Linked DNA regions of Callithrix jacchus. The protein of the gene in region 1 purifies or fractionates together with the protein of each later gene. This does not show direct contact. Links are inferred from orthologs where the notes say so. Each region holds a gene or a part of one and is shown in the gene's direction. Other genes may lie near its edges. The genes, in order: VCAM1 and MSN.

Region 1 (3,813 bases):
TCGGCCAACATCTCATTCCCTTCCTCTCCTCCCCCAAGCCTCTGGTAACCACCATTCTACTCTCTGCTTCTATGACTTTAGAAGTAGAGCCCACATATAGGTGAGATCACGAGGTACTGGTCTCTGTGCCTGGCTTGTTAGACTTAGCATGATGTCCTCTGGGTTCATCCCTGGTGTTGCAAATGACAGAATTTCCTCTTTTGTTTTTTAAGGCTAAACAGTATTTCACATATTTTATGGCTAATTGTCTTTAAATAGTCTCCCTGCTAACGTTCTGTCCCCCGTATAATCAATCTTATGCACCATTCCCGGAGTTTATTACCTTAAACAAAAAGGTGCTCATTTTCTATAATTTCAATCACATTTCTTAAAACAGTCACAGAGAACTCTTTATGGTCTGGTCAGAGACTCCCTCTGCAGCTTTGTTGATAACTGAGTGTGTCTGCTTGTGCTGTTCCTTCTGCCTGAAATGGCCTCTCTCCTTCCTTCATCTGGCAAAGTCTTAGCCATTCTCGAAGACAAAGCTCACGTCAGCCTCCCAGTTCCAGACTGTGTCAGACCAAATGACTTACTCTTTCCTTTGTGTACACTCAACGGTCCTTATAATCATGTACGCACTTCTGTTCAGTTCAACGCATATTAAGAGCCCTTATCCAAGAATCCAAGATTTGTACTTGGTACTGGGGGTACATACATAAAAAAGATATGACAACTTCCCTAAGGGAGCATACAAACTAGGAAGGACAGTCATATAAATAGATAATTCCAATATTCTTTAGCAAGAGACAAAATATTATGTCTTTTTAAATGTATCTTTCCACTAAACTGTAAAATCCTGCTGTGGGCACAATGGTTCATGCCTATAATCCCAGCACTCTGGGAGGCTTAGGTGGAAAGATCGCTTGAGGCCAGAAGTTTAAGACCAGCCTGGGCAACATAACGAAACCCCCTGTTTCTATTTAATTAAAAAAAATCTGTAAACTCCTTAAAGTCAGGAATTCTGTGTATGTGTGTGTGTGTGAATGTTTGGATTCTTAGCACATTACCTAATACATAATAAATGTTTAGCAAATGCTTGTTGAATTAATGAGTAGATTATAAACTTGGAAAGCATAGTCTTTTGTTTGTTTTGGGAGATGAGGTCTTGCTATGTCACCCAGGCTGGACTCAAGTGATCCTCCCGCCTTAGCTGGGCTCACTCCTGGGCTCAAGTGATCCTCCCGCCATAGCTGTCTGAGTAGCTAGGATTATAGCCACTATACCCAGCTCAAATTTTTAAAATGTGAAAACACGGTATTTAAACTTGAACAATTAAAATGAAAATCAAACTCACCATAAGTAGATTACCTCAGTTGGATGTTATCTACTGAGCATTCTCCAGTGACCATGAAAGACGTTACGCTAATAAAACCGCATAAAGCCAATCATTCATCCTGGAATAGTGCCACCCCATAATAAACTGTATCCTATTTCAATGTACGAAGGGTATGTATTTTGGATTTGGGGAGAGTTGTTTTGTGCTTTTCATCACACGGGATACTACTGAGCTAAAGTACTGGAGATACTTTTAAAAAGGCTTTCAGCCACCTAAAGGGGTTACTCCTCCAGTGATTCCAAGTTCACATGACAATACACGTGGCCACTGTAAAGAATAATCTGATAAATGTTCACAGGCAGGAAGTGGATCTGTTTTTAAAGTTCCTCATTCTCACACTAGCATATAAGAAATGTGGAAGCTCTGGTTGTTTTTGTGAATGAGCTCTCTTTAAAATCTAATAGGATGTCAGTTTATTGAGGCGATTTGAGGAGAATCTACTTTACAAAATGCTAAGATGTCACAATTAGACAAACCTATTGAGAAAAATAACTTATGGCACAGATGAGAGACACGTAAGATGTAATATGTTTGGATTATTCATATTTTGAGATTCTTTCTTTTATCTCAAGCCTGTAATTTACAAGGAAGATTTCAGTGATTTTTATGTGGGGAGAGGCGGGTCTCATCTGTTGCTTTCAGAGTTGCCCAAACACTCCCAGTTTCTTCAGGGGAGTAGAGCCAGAATGTGGTGTTCCCTTTCTCCCTAAATAGCAGTCGTCCAAAAGAAGCCCCTGTACCCAGCAGGGATAGCACTGATGGCCAAAGAGCATTCCTAGATATTTGGGTCTTAGGAGTTTGCCCTCACATCTTAGCTTTCAGATGCTGAATTAATTGTAAAGTGTTTTCATATTGCATCAGGCAAATTTCGGAGGTGACTTATGTATCTCTTTAATGCTTAGATTTTGACTTTGATTTCGGGGTGAATCTATGTGACTTTCAATGGTATAACAGTATTATTGAAACAGAAGCTCTAAATACTTGCCCACTGTGGGTATTATATCTAATTAGAATACATTCTGTAGCTTTTTCCAGCACCTCTTTTAGATCGTTTTATCGCCATATGAGGATGACTTGATTTAGTTGTAGCAACTGAAAAACTGAGATCTTGAATCGGACCCACCTGGCATCAAGTCCTAATTTTGCTACTTACTTGCAAACTGGGCAAAGTTATTCAGTGCCTAATTCTGAGCCTAAATTTCCTCAAGAAGAAAAAGGAGGGGAAAAAGGAGGAAGAGAAAGAGTAGAAGCACAAAGAGAAAGAGAAGACAAAGAAGAAAATAGTACCAGTGTATGAAATTGTTGTGGGGATTAAATGAGATATATATACACACACACACATAGTATATATACACACTATATAGTATATATATGCTATATATGTATATGATGTATATATATAGTAATTTACATAGTGCTTGACACACAAGAACCACTTAAATTATTTGAACAATTGTTCACTCTTACAGTGATTTGATAAACTACATTTGAACAGAGACTTGATTATTGCTATGAAGAGATACCAACCTCTCTTGACAAAATTGTATCTATTCATTTTGTTAAATGAATGAATCAACAAGCTATTATAGTTTTATTCTTAAAGGATGTGATCTCTTTTGTTATGGTCCGAAGGTAAAAAAGAGCAATTTCTTCTTGGCATAGATGTTAGCTGAAAGGGGATCAGGAAAAATAAAGATCATATGTCAGAATGTGATAAAAGAAGAAAAGAGTACGTTCTTTTCATCTTGTTTTCCACCTCTGTTCCAGAGAAACCATTTACTGTTGAGATCTCCCCTGGACCCCGGATTGCTGCTCGGATTGGAGACTCGGTCGTGTTGACATGTGGTGTCATGGGCTGTGAGTCACCATCTTTCTCCTGGAGAACCCAGATAGATAGTCCTCTGAGTGGGAAGGTGAGGAGTGAGGGGACCAATTCCACACTGACCCTGAGCCCTGTGAGTTTTGAGAACGAGCACTCTTACCTGTGCACAGTGACTTGTGGACGTAAGAAAGTGGAAAAGGGAATCCAGGTGGAGCTCTACTGTAAGTGCTTTTCAGAATCGTTTACTTTTCATTTTCTTTTTAAGTTTCATTGGAAGAAAAAGAATGCAAAATCTGTGATGTGTAATGAGATCCATATGTTTAGAAAAGGAATTTAGCATTGTGAATTGCTCCCAAATCTGAATCAGAATGGTTTGATGCAACAGAATTCACCTAAATCTTAAGTATATATCACATATGTACACAGCACCCACAATCCTTGGTTTGTGCCTTGTCAGTACTCTCTCAGTGTGCCCTTGGACACACTCCATGCTGGAAGCAAGTGCAGTGGGGTCAGTGCCCATTCAGATGACTGTATGGAGGTGACTGCTGTTCAACTACTCCAATTGAGAATGAGTAGTTTTAAAGTGTTTTAAAGGCACATTTGAAGAGCTGTC
Region 2 (4,554 bases), on another chromosome or scaffold:
AAACTCAAGCCCAGAGAGGGGAAGGGAATTACCCAAGGCCACATAGTGGTCACACGATGAGTTAATGGCAGAACTATGAGTAGAAGCCAGGTTTCCTGACCTCTCAAATGTCCTCTCTGTTGTCTCAAACCAGCTTACCATCTGTGTTGCTTTACCTCGCAAAGAATACTCAGACCATGCCCTCACATGGTTGCCAGTGGAGAGGAGAAAAAAAGGACTATGTCGAGCCACTTTCAAACTAAAACTCAGACTTATTTTATTTTACTTTTTTTGGAGATGGGAGTCTTGCACTGCTGCCCAGGCTGGAGTGCAGTGGTCCAATCTTGGCTCACTGCAGTCTCTGCCTCCTGGAAGCGATTCTCCTGCCTCATCTTCCCTAGTAGCTGGGACTATAGGTGTGCGCCATCACCTCTGGCTAATTTTTTTTTCTTTTTTGTATTTTTAGTAGAGATGGGGTTTCACCACATTGAGCAGGCTGGTCTCGAACTGTTGACCTCAAGTGATCTGCAGGCCTTGGCCTCCCAAAGTGCTGGGATTACAGGTGAGAGCCACTGCGCTCAGCCTCACTTATTTTGCTTTTACATGTACAGATACAGGAGAGGGTCTTGATATGTTCCCCAGGCTGGTCTTGAATTCCTGGGCTCAAGTGATCCTCCTGCATGAGCCTCTCAAAGTGTTGAGATTACAGTCATGAGCCACTGCACTCAGCCTAAAACTCAAACTTGACCAGACGACTGCAGCAGTCTAGAATACTGCCATCCTGGGATTCTGTGATCCTGACAAAAAGGAGAAAGGGAGCTGGCAGACAAATGTCAAGGGTATGCATTAGGGAGGTCACATCTAAACTGAGGGAATTAATAGCCAGATTCATCAGAATATCAGAACGTGAATGTACTGGGGGAGGACCTAAAGGATCAGGGCACTGATTTGAGGAAGGTGGAGATTGGGATTTAGAGGAAGCAAAGAGTAGAGAACAGATATGGGGAGAAGGAGGTCAAGTCTGTTGAAATGAGAACTGAGCAAGGATGGGGAGTAAATACGATGGGGAGAGTCCTACATAAGAGAATAGATGAAGTGTTGGAAGAGGTGAGACAGTTTAGCCAAAAGAAGCGTAGTTTCCTGTGGACCTGAGATCTTCAGGCCTTTGAGGAGCTGTTAGGGACAGCAGGGATCTGTGTGGCCTCAGGGAGCAGAGCTGAGATCCAAGCATGGAAGCCATAGAGAAAAGGAGTTCCGACATGCAAGAACTTTTTAAGAGTCAGGGTTGTTTTAAGAAGGAAAAGATAGCTGTGATAGGTAGTGAGCTCCCCATCGGTGGAAAGTTGCAGTCAGGGGTAATCATCTGTCAGGGTGCGGCCCAGGGTCTGGGCCCTGAGTGGGGGTGGGGCTGGAAGGCCGGGACGTGGAAGGCTAGGGGGTGTGAGGGGGGTGGGAGAGGAGCGGGGTGAGTCTGGGTCGGGAGTGGTAGCTCTGCTAGGTCCGCCTGGGCCCAGTCGGGCCCCCCACGTGGCCGCTGTGGCCTGGCTGCGCCGGGCTGGGCCAGGCTGGGCTGGGCGGGGCAAGGCCAGCGGTCGGCGGGGAGGCGGGCGCGAGGGCGGGGAGCGGCGCGGAAGCCCGGCCACATAAAGGAGCGGGCGGTGCGACGGGGGCGGCTCTTTCCTGGGTGGGGTTTGTGAAGTCGTGGCCCGTTAGCAGGAAGCCGAATAGTCGCCCCAACGCTACTGAGGACCCAATCTGAGTCCCCGGCCACCCGAATCCAATCCGTGTGTACTGCGTGCTCAGCACTGCCCGACAGTCCTAGCTAAACTTCGCTAACTCCGCTGCCTTTGCCGCCACCATGCCCAAAACGGTGAGTGCGGGGGTGGGCGCTGTCGACCCCAAGGGCTCCCGCTGAGCCTCATAGCCCTTTGCTGATGGCTGAGGGCTTGGCCAGCCACCGGCCAGCCTGGGACACCGCGCCCTCCGCCATAGCCTAGGGTAGGGAGGGGACCGGAGTGGGAATCCTGGTCTGGTGCGTCCTCAGGGGTTGAGGGGGTGTCTAGGCTGGAAGTTTGGACAGGGCGAGGCCTGCCTCTTTCTCAGGTTCCAGTTCCCTGTGTCTGAGATGCAAGAGTGAGGATGGCTTCGTTGGGGCTTGGGGATTCCCCTTTCCCCTGACGGGCCATGGGCACAGAGGAGAGGATTCTGGTCCAGAAGACAACGCTTCCCCCAACTCAGGAATTGGCACCTTTCAGGGGCAAGGCTGCCAATGTTCAAGAGGGGCCTTGGGAACACAGAAGCAGGGAGGAAGGAGGGAGCCGCTGGGGCGGATCCCACACCCCCACTCACCTTTTCCACAGCCTCACCGGGTGGCTCCAGCTGTTTTCCACTAGGAGGTAAGGAGAGAGATGTGAGGAAATCGTCATCGAGGCTGCACCCGAGAGCACCAACACTTCATTAGGCACCAGACTGAGGAGAGGCCTACCCTATCTCCTGGGAGAGAGGACCGGTTTCTCCCTCCTCTCCACCCGCAAATCCCTGCCTCTCCCATTGCTTAATGCCTCTCTATCTCCTCCTATACCCGCAGGACTATTTTGTGTGGTGTGGGTTCTCTCGTCGGGCCACACCTTTCTAGAGTGGTGGTTGATTTGGGGATGCGTCTCCACCCCAGTGGCTGTTATGAGAGGAACAGAAGCCTTCTGGGAGTGGGGTTAGGGGGGCCGGATGCCCAGGAGGGAGGAGGGAGGAGGGGTGTGCCTGACTAATGAGCTCTGCTTGCTTTTGTGCAAGTCATGCCAAATGGCTGCTGGGGCCATTCCCTTGCTCAGAAAGGCCTGGTGACTACCCTGGCTTGAGTCCCTTAGGCCAAACAGCTTGTTGGGCTGGCCTAGGCAATGCAATGCTCCCAGACATGTCTCCCCAAGACTACTTGAGCCTTGTAGAGGTGAGATAGTGACTAGTAGCCTTGGAAAGGGCTGAAGGCCCCTGGGATGAGAGGAGGCGAGTTGGGGGCCTAGCCTTTTGGGTTTGTGATGAGCTTTGGGTGCCACATTACTATATACCAGCCTCACTGCCAAGTCATTCTTGCCTTTCCAGAACGTTGTCCTTCAGAAACACCAAGTTTTAAAAAAATGTGTGCTTTCACTGTCTATCTCCTTTAGATTACTTGTGGTTTTAGGACATGAGGCTTTTACACACTTTCTTTCCAGCTCCCCTGCCCCCAAGGAGAGAGTAATGGTTTTGGAGACAGGGGAAAATACCCCATTGTCTGTCAAAACAGGATTATAAAGATCCTGTCAGGAGCGGCTTTTTGGGTCTCTCTCTATGGTTGACTCCTGACTCCTCTTAAGGTGTGGGTTTGCCTGAACAGTTGGGTGGATCTCTGGGAATAGACATTGCTCCTGGCCTTTCTTCTGTAGTGGCATATCTCATCCTCAATTCTGCCATATCCCACCTTGAAACACAACTTCATGGGCCTGGAAGTTGCCTCAAACTTGCATAAATCATCTCATCTCATTCAAAGTGGCAAAGAAGACAAGACAGTGTGTTTATTGTTTTCCTGAGAATGGAGAGAGATTGGAGTATAAGCTGTAGTCAGGCCTGGAGTAATGAAGGTGTCTAAATACTGAAGGCATTTTTATGCAGATTAACTGAAACCTGAATTAAATCAGAAGGAGATGGCTGAATTTTGATAGACTGGAAGCATTAGAGAATTTTCTATGCTTCGACTCGAGGAATGGTCAACTTTTAGAAAAAACAACTATATGTCTGTTAAGGCCATAGAATCTTAACCTGAAAGCGACCTTGGAGACTATCTATTTAGTACAACTCTCTTTAAAAACAAATAACAACAACAACAACAAAACTAATGAGGATACCGAGGCCTACAGAAAAAGACCTACCTAAGGGCATATGGTGACTGAGCCAAGATTGGGGTACAGGCTTTCTGATGCTCTTCTGATTGACCCTCTATTCTGACCCAATGATTGAGTTCTTCACATTTGAGTTCTCTTTCTTGCTCCAAGCAAATTGCCCCCTGTTCTCAGAACTTTATGGTCCTCAGATAAAACGAAATGAGTAATTTGAGCAAAGTGGCCAAGGTTGGCATTTGTGTCATCTGGTAAGGTTCAGCAGTGTCACCAGGTGCCTCCTGTTACTTTTCTTATTCCTCATCCCGAAGTCGAGCTGTTCAGGGACGCATCCTAGTTCACTAAATACCACCCAGTAACTTTAATGAAAAAAGGTAAAATATTTCCCTTTCCCTGCTCCCTTTTCATTGATGTGCTTTAAGCTATTTCTAGCATATGACAGATAGAGAAGGGTAGTGGAAAATGAAACTCGTTCATTCATATGAAGCGTGTCTACAGCCCATCTAGGGTCGGTTTCATTTTTATAGTCAATTGTCCCGCCTAGTCAGCCCAACCTCCCCTACATCTGTTAAAACATGCTGGCTGGGTGCAGTGGCTCATGCCTGTAATCCAAACACTTTGGGAAGCTGAGGCTGGTCGATCATGAGGTCAGGAGTTTGAGATCAACCTGACCAATATAGTGAAACCCCATCTCTACTAAAAACAC

What was found.
Region 2: the proteins of VCAM1 (region 1) and MSN purify together in Homo sapiens (affinity purification with western blotting; 3 studies listed by BioGRID, with this or other methods). This does not show direct contact. The link is inferred for Callithrix jacchus from reciprocal best matches to the Homo sapiens genes VCAM1 and MSN.

Annotation. Positions count from the first base shown.
Region 1 is NC_133508.1:145,132,005-145,135,817, reverse strand, and holds part of VCAM1 (vascular cell adhesion protein 1), read left to right. Parts: intron 1-3,142; coding exon 3,143-3,418; intron 3,419-3,813. UniProt on the Homo sapiens protein: Cell adhesion glycoprotein predominantly expressed on the surface of endothelial cells that plays an important role in immune surveillance and inflammation.
Region 2 is NC_133524.1:62,750,228-62,754,781, forward strand, and holds the start of MSN (moesin), read left to right. Parts: upstream 1-1,650; 5' UTR 1,651-1,837; coding exon 1,838-1,849; intron 1,850-2,328; exon of another isoform or gene 2,329-2,375; intron 2,376-2,606; exon of another isoform or gene 2,607-2,680; intron 2,681-4,554. UniProt on the Homo sapiens protein: Ezrin-radixin-moesin (ERM) family protein that connects the actin cytoskeleton to the plasma membrane and thereby regulates the structure and function of specific domains of the cell cortex.